Linked DNA regions of Oryctolagus cuniculus. The protein of the gene in region 1 purifies or fractionates together with the protein of each later gene. This does not show direct contact. Links are inferred from orthologs where the notes say so. Each region holds a gene or a part of one and is shown on either strand. Other genes may lie near its edges. The genes, in order: NUP62, NUP214 and NUP88.

The links.
Region 2: the proteins of NUP62 (region 1) and NUP214 purify together in Homo sapiens (affinity purification with mass spectrometry; 5 studies listed by BioGRID and IntAct, with this or other methods). This does not show direct contact. The link is inferred for Oryctolagus cuniculus from reciprocal best matches to the Homo sapiens genes NUP62 and NUP214.
Region 3: the proteins of NUP62 (region 1) and NUP88 purify together in Homo sapiens (co-immunoprecipitation; 4 studies listed by BioGRID and IntAct, counting the BioPlex papers as one, with this or other methods). This does not show direct contact. The link is inferred for Oryctolagus cuniculus from reciprocal best matches to the Homo sapiens genes NUP62 and NUP88.

Annotation. Positions count from the first base shown.
Region 1 is NC_091449.1:7,675,510-7,679,152, forward strand, and holds the end of NUP62 (nuclear pore glycoprotein p62), read left to right. Parts: coding exon 1-1,559; 3' UTR 1,560-3,302; downstream 3,303-3,643. UniProt on the Homo sapiens protein: Essential component of the nuclear pore complex. The N-terminal is probably involved in nucleocytoplasmic transport.
Region 2 is NC_091432.1:233,665,162-233,668,804, forward strand, and holds part of NUP214 (nuclear pore complex protein Nup214), read left to right. Parts: intron 1-788; coding exon 789-984; intron 985-1,573; coding exon 1,574-1,725; intron 1,726-3,643. UniProt on the Homo sapiens protein: Part of the nuclear pore complex. Has a critical role in nucleocytoplasmic transport.
Region 3 is NC_091448.1:50,941,383-50,945,601, forward strand, and holds the end of NUP88 (nuclear pore complex protein Nup88), read left to right. Parts: intron 1-1,440; coding exon 1,441-1,599; intron 1,600-1,829; coding exon 1,830-1,955; intron 1,956-2,039; coding exon 2,040-2,105; intron 2,106-2,222; coding exon 2,223-2,303; intron 2,304-2,734; coding exon 2,735-2,861; intron 2,862-2,996; coding exon 2,997-3,115; intron 3,116-3,374; coding exon 3,375-3,438; 3' UTR 3,439-3,598; downstream 3,599-4,219. UniProt on the Homo sapiens protein: Component of nuclear pore complex.

The DNA.
Region 1 (3,643 bases):
GCGGGTTTAATTTTGGAGGCACTGGGGCCCCCACAGGCGGGTTCACCTTTGGTACCGCAAAGACAGCAACCAGCACCACGCCGGCGACGGGGTTCTCTTTCTCTACGTCTAGCTCTGGCGGGTTTAATTTTGGGACTCCCTCCCCTGCGGCCGCGAGCACCCCTTCCACCGGGCTGTTCTCTCTCACGACCCAAGCGCCAGCAGCCCAGACCCCGGCGTTCAGTTTTGGCACCACGACTCCCGCTTCCGGAGGCACCGGCTTCTCCCTAGGTCTCAACGCCCCGAAGCTGAACTTGGGCAGCACGGCGGCCACCTCAGCCACAGCAAACCCCAGTGGCTTTGGGCTCGGCAGCAGCACCCTCACCAGTGCCACGTCGGGCACCGTCACCTCCAGCCAGGGCACAGCTCCCACCGGCTTTGTGTTCGGCTCTACCACCACGCCTGCGGCCCCCGCCACCACATCCGGAGGGTTCTCCTTCACCGGGGGAAGCTCCTCGCAGACGGGGACGTCTGGCTTCAACATCGGCTCCGTGGGGAGTTCGGCCACCCAGCCCACGGCGCTGACCGGGTCTCCCTTCACCGCAGCCACGCCAGCGGCCACGGGGGCAGGGCCCAGCCAGCCGGCCGCGCCCACGCCCGCCGCCACCTCCAACGCTGGGCCCACCCTCTTTGCCTCCATAGCCGCGGCTCCCACCTCATCCACCGGCACGGGGCTCTCCCTCGGTGCCCCAGCGACCACCGCCGCGGCGCCCGCGCCTGGGACGCTGGGCTTCACCTTGAAGGCCCCTGGAGCAGCTGCCGGCACCTCCACGGTGACGTCCGCTGCTGCCACCACCACCACCACCACCACCACCAGCTTCGCCTTGAATCTAAAACCTCTGGCGCCGGCCGGGGTCCCCAGCAACACGACGGCCGCCGCGAGTGCTCCAGCGGCCCCCAGCGCAGCCACCGGGGCGGCCGGCAGCCCCGCGATGACCTACGCGCAGCTGGAGAGCCTCATCAACAAGTGGAGCCTGGAGCTGGAGGACCAGGAGCGGCACTTCCTGCAGCAGGCCACCCAGGTGAACGCCTGGGACCGCACGCTCGTCGAGAACGGCGAGCGCATCACCAGCCTGCACCGCCAGGTGGAGAAGGTGAAGCTGGACCAGAAGCGGCTGGACCAGGAGCTCGACTTCATCCTGTCGCAGCAGAAGGAGCTGGAGGACCTGCTGAGCCCGCTGGAGGGCTGGGTGAAGGAGCAGAGCGGGGCCGTGTGCCTGCAGCACGCCGACGAGGAGCGCGAGAAGACCTACAAGCTGGCCGAGAACATCGACGCGCAGCTCAAGCGCATGGCCCAGGACCTCAAGGACATCATCGAGCACCTGAACACGTCCGGGGGCCCCGCCGACACCAGCGACCCCCTGCAGCAGATCTGCAAGATCCTCAACGCGCACATGGACTCGCTGCAGTGGATCGACCAGAACTCGGCGCTGCTGCAGCGGAAGGTGGAGGAGGTGACCAAGGTGTGCGAGGGGCGGCGCAAGGAGCAGGAGCGCAGCTTCCGCATCACCTTCGACTGACGGCCGGGCCGGGGCCGCGGCGCTCCCTGGTGGCCGGGGGGGCCGATTCTCTGAAGCGATTGTGCTGTGGAGAGAAGTGTTCTGTGGTTTGACTTTGCCCGCCAGCGAATGCGTAGAAAGTGTCCCGAGCGCCGCTGGGCGGGCGGGCAGCAGCCGGTGGGCGGCTCTGTGTCTGAGTCCTGTGTCTTTGGCCCCTTTCACCCACTGCCACCCACCTCGCCCTCCCCCGACAGAGGCGCTGAGGCCGGAGAGGAGAGGCTGCCGCCGGCCGCTCTGCCCAGCACAGTGGAAGTGCTGAGGTGGGCAGGCTGCCCTCTGCCCCGTGTGGGGTTTAAGCCGTGCGCTCCGCCCAGACACACTGCTCCCCGCAAGGAGGGGCTGCTCAGCTGAGGCGAGGCCCAAGCCCGGGGGGCTTCCCTGTGCCCGCTCCCCGTCCAGGTGGGCCCTCGGGCCTCCCCTCTTCCAGGGCGCCGCCCCGGCCGGCCCCATGGCACACTGAGCCTGTGCCAGGGAGGACTGGCTGTGCGTCTTGTGCCGACTGTTGGCCCCCGTCTCACTGGTAGACTGAGCTCCCGGGGGCAGGGACTGACTCTGTCCCCCTTTGTCCCCAGCACAGTCCCAGTCAGCTTTGCTGAATGAGCAAAGGACGAAGATGAAACCTGGCGTAGCGCTGGTCCACCGTGTTGCCTGCTGCGGTGGCCGCGGTGGCCACGCAGGGGCCCTGAGCCCCGCCAAGGTCCCCGTGTCGCCGCCCAGTGTCCTGTGTGTGTGCTTTGCATTCTCTACGATAGCCACGCTGTGTGTCGCCTTCCTGAATAAAAACATGAACAGCTGCCGTGCCTGTGTAACGTCAGGGTGAGGCGGTCGAGAGCGAGCAGCTCCCAGAAGCCACCGTGCTGGCGCCCTCCGGCCGACAGGCGCGAACAGTCTTGGGTCTGTGCTGACCTGTGGGTGACGCGGGCGCTGGCACCGCACTGCCTGCCCTCGCCCCGGTGGAGCAGCCTCCGTTCCTCCGCTGGGGCTAGCTGGAGGGCTCGGGCGGAGAGGCGACTCCCAGGTGCGGCCCGGCCAGCTGCTGGGAGCTCTCCCTCCTCCTGGGGACGGGGGTCCCGGCCCCTTGGCCTCACCCGCTCCATGGCTCACACCTCGGAGCCCTGTGGCCCATTTTCTAGAAGCTTCCCAAGGTCAAGATCACAAGTCATTGTTTACGTTGAACCATCTGGGGCCTTGAAGGCCAACACAACTTTGCAGGCAGCAGCCACAGAACAGGGAGGAGGAAGACCCCGCCAGCCTCCGTGAGCGCTGCTGCCCTCTCCCGGCCTTGACCACGGGGAGGGCCCGCGCTCCTGCCCTAGAAAAGTGGTCTGTTTCCTGCCTGCGTTTTTTCATTCGACATCCGTGGAGCAATGTTACTGAGCCCGCGAGCTCAGATTGTCCCTGTCAAAGGCCACACAATCTTCCTAGGGGGAAAAAAATGGGCATTTAAAAAATATATGCATTTGAAAGAGTGACAGAGGGAGAGGTTCCCCCCCCCACCTGGGTGGCAGGGACCCCAACACTTGGGCCACCATCTGCTGCCACCCCAGCTGCCTTCCCACTGAGCAGAGAGCAGTGCCATGGGTACCGGATGCCGGCGGCACGGGCAGCGGCTGGCACCTGTGCCACGACGCCATCCCAAGCGTGCTTCCCTGGTGTGCGTGTGTATATACTCCCGTTTCACATATTAAACATGAGTAAAACTCAGTTGCTTTCCTTTATTTTATTTTTAAAGATTTTATTTATTTTATTTGAGAAATAGAGCCACAGACAGTGAGAGGGACAGAGAGAAAGGTCTTCCCTCCACCAGTTCACTCCAAATGGCCAGAACTGCGCCGATCCAAAGCCAGGAGCCAGGTGCTCTCTGCCGGTCTCCTACACAGGTGCAGGGCCCAAGGCCTGCTCTCCCAGGCCACAGCAGAGAGCTGGATCAGAAGTGGAGCAACTGGGACTAGAAGTGGCACCCATGTGGGGTGCCGGCGCCGCAGGCGGAGGATTAGCCCACTGCACCACGGCGCCGGCCCCTCCTGTATTTTAAAAATAAAAAC
Region 2 (3,643 bases), on another chromosome or scaffold:
CAAGGTGAGGTGGGAGTTAGCTGATCAGGGGAGGCGTTCGGGCCAGTAGCCTCTAAAAGCTCCAAGGTATTAGGGAGCGTGAAAATGGATGGCAGAGACGGCAGGGTTGGTAGGACTGGCAGAGGCAGTGAGCCCTTATGGAGGGAGGCAGAGTCGTGAGGGGACGCTGCAGCTTTGGCTGGATTGAGTTGTGCCTGGTCTTGGCAGTCTGTGTTAGGGGATTTGGACTCCTGTTTCAGGTATTTCACAGCATCTAGCTTCTGCTTTAAGGTCATGAACACCAGGAGATTCACCGTGTCCTTTTTCCACGATGGAATTTTGTTGAACATTTGTAAGAGTAAGCCAGCTCTGGGGTTTGGTCTTCTTCCTGCAGTTTTCTCAGTGTGCATTGCTGACTACTGCCCTGGAAGTTAGCACTGCAGTGTAGCTGGTGATGCTCTCAGTATTTAGCAATAATTGGTTAGCACGCTGTTGGGTTATGAGACTGTCCATGCCATGAAATAGGACAAGGTTATGGCGTAGGTCGTGTGGTGATTCAGACAATAATACGAACTCAGAAAAGGAGATCAGTGTCAGCTGGATTAGTCAAAGGATGCTTTGTGGAAGGTGTTTTTTCTTTCATTTATTTTGTTCAAGTTAATGAAAACATTTTAAAAACAACTGAGATGGCTCTTGGCCTTTGCAATATACGTTTCTGGTGTACTGAAATTGAGTCTAAGAAAATAACAACTGACATGATTTAACTTCCTGTTTACCCTGAATTGGTCTTGTTTTGACCCTTTCAACAGGATTTTCAGTTCAGAGCCCTGAGAAAGGTGAGGATCTTTGATTCTCCCGAGGAGCTGCCCAAGGAGCGCTCGAGTCTGCTTGCCGTGTCCAACAAGTACGGTTTGGTCTTTGCTGGCGGAGCCAGTGGGTTGCAAGTTTTCCCTACTAAAAATCTTCTTATTCAAAATAAACTTGGAGATGATCCCAATAAAATAGGTAAGTTCTCTGACTTATGTTACGTCGTCAGGAGGGGGGTGTGGTGATGTACTGCTGTGTGTTCTTCCCAGGAATAATATGAAGATTAGCACTGCTGTTGAGCCTACAGTTGGCTCCCAGGAGGAAGCTCTGGGTGGGGTGCGCAGGCCTTGTGGTTCGGTCCTTTGTATGTCTGTGTCAGTGAGCGTCCTCTGAGCGCAGGAGGAAGAACTTAGCATTAGGCCGTGCTTTTATTTTTGCTTACTTCAACTAGGTTTCTGGCTCCAGGAAAAGGGTTTTATCACCTGGGTTTCTCCTTGGCACAGTACCATGCAAACACCTGGGAATGTGTGCTATGTGGAACATTGTTGCACAAATGTTTTCCACAAGGTTAGAAGCCAAAGTTAGACTCCCAAGGTCGTATGAGGAGGAGTCCTTGGATACTTACAGCATCATCATGTATCTATTTAAGAAAGTTATGATTATCTTCCTAACTAGGTTTTGGGGTATATGTGTAGATGCAAAAATTGTTTCACATTGACTTGGATAAAGGCGTTGTGCTTCTATGCTTAGAGCGTGTTTTCTGCATTGTCTTTTTCTGTTTCCATAGTTGATAAGGTCCAAAGCTTGCTAGTTCCTATGAAATTTCCAATCCATCACTTGGCCCTGAGCTGTGATAACCTCACTCTCTCCGTGTGCATGATGTCCAGTGAATATGGTTCCATTATCACTTTTTTTGACGTCCGCACGTTCTCAAATGAGGTAAGCCGCCAGCAAGCTGGAGTGTCGAAGTGGGGAGCTGAGGTTTCCCGACCTGGAATTAACGATGAGAGGTTTCTTGGGTTGATGCCTGCAGTTGTTTTTCAAGACTAAAATATGGATTTAAAAAGTGTGTATTATTTAGTTACAATTTTAATTTTCTTTAAAAGGCGAAATGTTCACCACAGCTGGGGCTGGGCCATGCCAGAACCAGGAGGCAGGAACTCGGTGTGGGTCTTCCACGTGGGTCAGGGCCCTAAGCACTGGAGCCTTCACCCCTGCTGCCCGTGATGCACGTTAGCGTGGAGCTGGCACTGCAGCCCAGGCACTCCGATAGGGCTGCACCTTTCCAAGGAGCAGGTTTTTTTTTTTTTTTTTTTTTTTTTTTAATATTTATTTGTTTGAAAGGCAGAGTTACAGAGGCAGAGAGAGAGAGAGGTCTTCCGTCTGCTGGTTCACTCCCGAAATGACCGCCATGACTGGAGCTGAGCCGGTTCGAAGCCAGGAGCCAGGAGCCTCTTCCAGGTCTCCCACATGGGTGCAGGGGCCCAAGGACTTGGGCCATCTTCTACTGCTCTACTGCTTTCCCAGGCCATAGCAGAGAGCTGGAACAGAAGTGGAGCAGCCAGGATGCGAACTGGCGCCCATATGGGATGCTGACACTGCAGGTGGCATTTTTACCTGCTACGCCACAGTGCTGGCCCCTCCAAAGAGCATCTTACCCACTGTGCCAAATGCTTACTTCAGTCCTTTTTTTACTTTTTTTTTTTTTTGACAGGCAGAGTGGATAGTGAGAGAGAGAGAGACAGAGAGAAAGGTCTTCCTTTGCCATTGGTTCACCCTCCAGTGGCTGCTGCGGCCGGCGCACCGCGCTGATCTGAAGCCAGGAGCCAGGTGCTTATCCTGGTCTCCCTTGGGGTGCAGGGCCCAAGCACTTGGGCCATCCTCCACTGCATTCCCGGGCCACAGCAGAGAGCTGGCCTGGAAGAGGGGCAACCGGGATAGAATCTGGTGCCCCGACCGGGACTAGAACCCGGTGTGCTGGCGCCGCAAGGCGGAGGATTAGCCTAGTGAGCTGCGGCGCCAGCCTTCAGTCCTTTTTAAAAAAGGTTTATTTCATTTATTTGAAAGACAGAGTTACAGAGAGACAGAGGCAGAAAGAGAGAGATGTCTTTCATCTACTGGTTCACTCCCCAAATGATCGCAATGGCCAGAGCTGAGCTGATCTGAAGCCAGGAGCTTCTTCTAGGTCTCCCACATGGGTACAGGGGCCCAAGCACTTGGGCCATCTTCTACTGCTTTCCCAGGGCATAGCAGAGAGCTGGATCAGAAGTGGAACAGCCGGGACTTGAACTGGCGTCCATATGGGATGCTGGTGCTGCAGGCTGCAGCTTTAACCTGCTGCGCCATAGCGCTGGCCCCACTTAGAAGACAGAAAGGGCTTCTAGAAATTATTTCATACACCACTTGCGCAAGGCAATGCTGTTTCTCATTGACACATGAGACAGCCAGCCCGAGAGGCTAGGGTGGCCTGCCCAAGGCCATAAAATTAATGGATAATGTCAGAAGTTCCCACGTCTTGGGTCTAACAGAGAATGTTAAAAGTTGTTACATTGTGGGACTGTGGTCTCCTAAGGCAGTTTAAGAATAACAGTCAGTAATGGTGAGTGTTTATACTCTGTGCCAGGCACTGTGCTACCTTATATGCCTCGTCCATGTTCATTCCTGCCTGTCTTACGTAGTAGGTACCGGTATCTTCATTTTACCCATGGAGAAGTGGACTACGAAGAGTTTAAGTAGCCATCCCAGGTCCCGGCGCTGTGAAAGAGCAGAGCCAAGGGCTGGGCATCGGGGCGGAGGCTGTGAAGCCTGTATCCCACGTCAGTGCCTGGTTTGAGATCTGGCTCCCTGTATCCCACGT
Region 3 (4,219 bases), on another chromosome or scaffold:
TGTCCTGTTACTCACTCTCGTTACTTCTGCACAGCTGGGGAATGGCCGCAGTAACTGGGTTCGCCTTATGTACACCGTGTATGCCCGGCTTCTAACTAGAGGGTTGCAGAGGTGGACATTTCTGGACGTTTTCATTTTAGGTCGTTTCTGGCATCTTCCTCTAGCTGAGAAAACAGCTCTTGTTAATACTAAAATAATAAACTGCATTATCCCGATGAATTAGATTTAATGACTGGCAGTAGTCTCAGCCTGACGGTGTGCCAGCCGAGAGCTAGTTCTCCACCTGCACTGCCTCCTGGAACCCCACAGCAGCCTTGTCACCCTCGTCCCCTGAAGGGCAGTCAAGGCCAGGAGGCAGCAGATGCAGGGCCGACTCACTGGGCGTCCCACTCACGCTCCGTGTCACCGCCTGCCAACCTCCGTAACTGGAGATGGTCTGAAGCCGAGCTCGGTCTTGGTTCCAGTATGAAGCTTCTCTGAGTTTTAGGAATGCAGAAAGAAGAGTGGACAGCAGATGGCATGGGCTTCGAGCAGCAGGCCCCGCCCGCCCGTCTCCCCATGCCGGTTCAGCCTGCGCTTCTAGATACTGGGTGCCAAGTACTGGTCCTCACTGTCCTCAGAGGATCTCTATCCTCTTTTAAGATTGACAAATTATGATATTTAGAAGGGAAAATGAATAATTGATGTGTTATACCAAAAGACAAAACTCTAGCATGGCTGAAAAAAAAACATTTGAAGTCACTGGGAGAAAACTGCCTACTTCCAGTGCTTCAGCTATTTTTAAAAGCCTCATCCCCTTTAACAAAGTCTAGTTGTGACAGGCGACTTCCAAATAGAGAACGTGAGTCTCAAAGGGGGAAATGTTCTGACGTCATCAGGTCACCCTCAAACCGTGTTTTTGCTAATCCCTGAAATACAGGTTGTCTACAAAATGGTATTTTCTTTACAAATTTGAATCATTGCCTTCAAAAAAGTCACTTAACCTACTGCCAAAGTTTGCAGTCTTTCAGATTCTTTCTGAAATTGCCTCTGCAAATATTTTCACTTGAGTGGATGTAATTTCTAGAATTCAAGGTGTATAAAACCAAGTATATTTGATTTAATAGCTACCTGACTTAGTGCTGGGTCTCATCAAATCCATACCTAGAAGCGAGCATTCGCTTCTGTCTGTGGCTCCGGCTCCCCGGCAGTGCCCTGAATCAGTGTCTGTTTTGTGCTGCTTTAATCTCGGCAGACAGAATTGCAGGTGGGCAGAGTGCCAGCGGCAGCACTGGTGGAGAAGCGTGTGGCTCCCTGAGCTGAGCTCCGCCAGTCAGAAGACGTGCATTCTTGGGGTGCTGGGGAAGCCACACTGGACCAGAGTGCCGAGTCAGCACGGCGTGTGCACTCCTGTGGTGCCTGCGTCAACTCTGTGGCGCTGCTCTTCTGTTCCTTTTGCAGAAGTACTGTCCATCCGGCGTCTCCGCCCCTGCTCTGTACCCGAGAGGACGCCGAAGTGGCCGCGTCTCCCCTCCGAATTCTGGCCGAAACTCCGGATTCCTTTGAAAAACACATCAGGAGCATCCTGCAGCGCAGCGCCGCCAATCCGGCGTTCCTCAAGTACGGGATCGCGGGGGCACGGTCTAAGAGGGCTTGCGGCCTCCTTGCGCGTCAGCATGTCAGACGTCCGCTGGGCGGCGCTGAAGAGACGCGGGCAGGTCCGAGGAGCCGGTGATGGGGCCTGGCTCCTGAGAATGAGAGACAGTGTTAGAAGGGAGGAGCTGGGACTGGGGACCGTGTTGCGTGGTGCTGCTTGCTCAAGGAAAGTCACGCGGGAACTTTGTGTCTAGGTCGTCTGAAAAGGATACGGCCCCTCCTCCGGAGGAGTGTCTGCAGCTCATCAGCAGAGCCACGCAGGTGTTCCGGGAACAGTACATCCTGAAGCAGGACCTGGCAAAGGAGGAGATTCAGCGGAGGTGTGACCGGCTGTGTTCCCAAACCTGAGGCCGGGTCACGGCACAGGCCTAGCCTTTGATTAAACTTTCTTTTTGTTCTTAAAGGGTCAAATTATTATGTGACCAGAAAAAGAAGCAACTAGAAGATCTCAGTTACTGCCGGGAGGAGAGGTGAGCGTCAAGACGGGGAGAAGGAACCAATCCTGAGAGTGGAGCTGTGTGGTCGCCCCTGGACGCTGAGCCCCACCGGCCAGGGAGGCCCAAGTCTCTTGCTTTTTATGCCATTAGGAAAAGTCTGCGTGAAATGGCCGAGCGCTTAGCTGACAAGTATGAGGAAGCCAAGGAGAAACAAGAAGACATCATGAACAGGTCCGTGCCCGGGCACCAGCAGTGTTAAGAAAAGGGCCCGCCTAGTAGGTGCTCACAGACCTGCGCGGGGTGGAGTCGGTAGGATCTGTAGGTAGGGCGATGAGGGGCACGTATCTGGGGCAGTGCTTGCATGACGGCGGCAGCTGGGAGGTCCCACCACAGGCCGCCGGCAGGCTGGATCCCTGGTGTGGCACCGCTGTGCCCGAGCGCCCTGGAACCAGGGAAGCCGAGGGTGTCGGCCTCACCGCGCAGTGCAAGGCCTGGCTGTGCTCTCCCACCTTGTGTAGTGGGTCTCTGCAGACCCCCAGCCAGTCGACGGTGCCCACCAAAGCCGCGGTGGAGAGCCGGGCCTGGCCAGCTCCTGTTTGTGACTGTGTTTCTCGTCAGCAGCGGCGCGCTAGAGCTGAGGCGTCCGCTTACCTCCCCTGCAGGATGAAGAGAGTGCTTCACAGCTTCCACTCTCAGCTCCCCGTTCTCTCCGACAGCGAGAGAGACATGAAGAAAGAGCTGCAGCGCATTCCTGAGCAGCTCCGCCATCTGGCCAGTGCCATCAAACAGGTAGCAGCTGCGGGCGGTCTACGTCAGCTCTGCACAAAAGTAACTTTATAACATATAAAAAGGACAGACTAAAATAAGAGACTGAAAATACATGGCAAACCACAGCCACGGCCCGCTCCTCTGTCTGCTCCTCAGGTCACCATGAAGAAGGACTACCAGCAGCGCAAGATGGAGCGGGTGCTGAGCGCTCAGAAGCCCAGCATCACGCTCAGCGCCTACCAGCGCCGGTGCATCCAGTCCATCCTGAAGGAGGAGTAAGTACCCGGCCCCGGCCCCGGCCCCCGTGAGCAGGTCAAGTGGTTCCTGGGCCAGGGCTGGGACACGGCGTGCAGGGCTGGGGAGGCCACTTCCCCGCTAGGAGGTGTGTGGTCGAGGGTTTCCCAGGGAGCGCGTGCGCAGCGGCCCCGCTGTGCTCCGGAACACTCGAGTTCACCATGACAGCGGAGACCGTCAGGAACCCCTACTACGGACTCCTGGTTCTCAAAGCCGTGACAGTCATGGTGACTTTCACAGGGGCGAACACATAAGAGAAATGGTCAAACAGATCAACGACATCCGGAACCACGTGAACTTCTGACGCCGCAAGGACCAGAGTCAACTGAAGGCCGAAACCCACGCTGTAGCGCGGACAGCACTAATTTATAAACAGGCATTTTAGATGAATTTTGGTGTGATGGTTCATTTTTTAATATTTTATTTGTTTTTTAATTATTGAATAAAGGCTTTTATTTTAAAAAGTGGAATGTCTGTGATTGCTAAAGTCCTGAGACAGCCTTTGGGCTGCACACCGCGAGCTCGCCACAAACACGACCGCGTTCTTGGCCTATCTGAGCAAGCACACGAGCTGTGTGTTTAGGTAGCAGCACCAGAACTGCGGCTCTGAAGAGACAAAGAGGAGGCCACACGGTGCAGGGGGCAGCAGCTTTTTTAATTTGAACACTTTCTGGTTAAGGACACACCTTCAGGACAGTTCACAAACGGCTACACCCGCAGTTTGCTCGGAACAGAGCCCAGGAGCGCAGCCGCAGAGGCCCGTGCCCGCGCACTTCCTCTCAGAGCTGGGGCCAGCTGCGCTGCGTGCAGCAGTCGCTACCGAGTGGCTGCAGGTTCCCCTCAAGGGAGGAACGGCGTGCTCTGCAGTCTGTGTGGTCTGTCCTCGGGCTTTACGTCCTCTTTCTGCTCGCCAGCGTGAGCTCCGAGAGGCAAAGCCGGGCCTGCCTAGAGTGCCTCAGTGACGCCAGGTAACAGCCACGCAGTAAGGGACGTTACAGGTTCAAGGTAAATCAGGCTAGTTCTGCATGAGGACACGATTACAGACCGAACATAAGCGCGGAACACCTGCAAAACTCAACTGATAA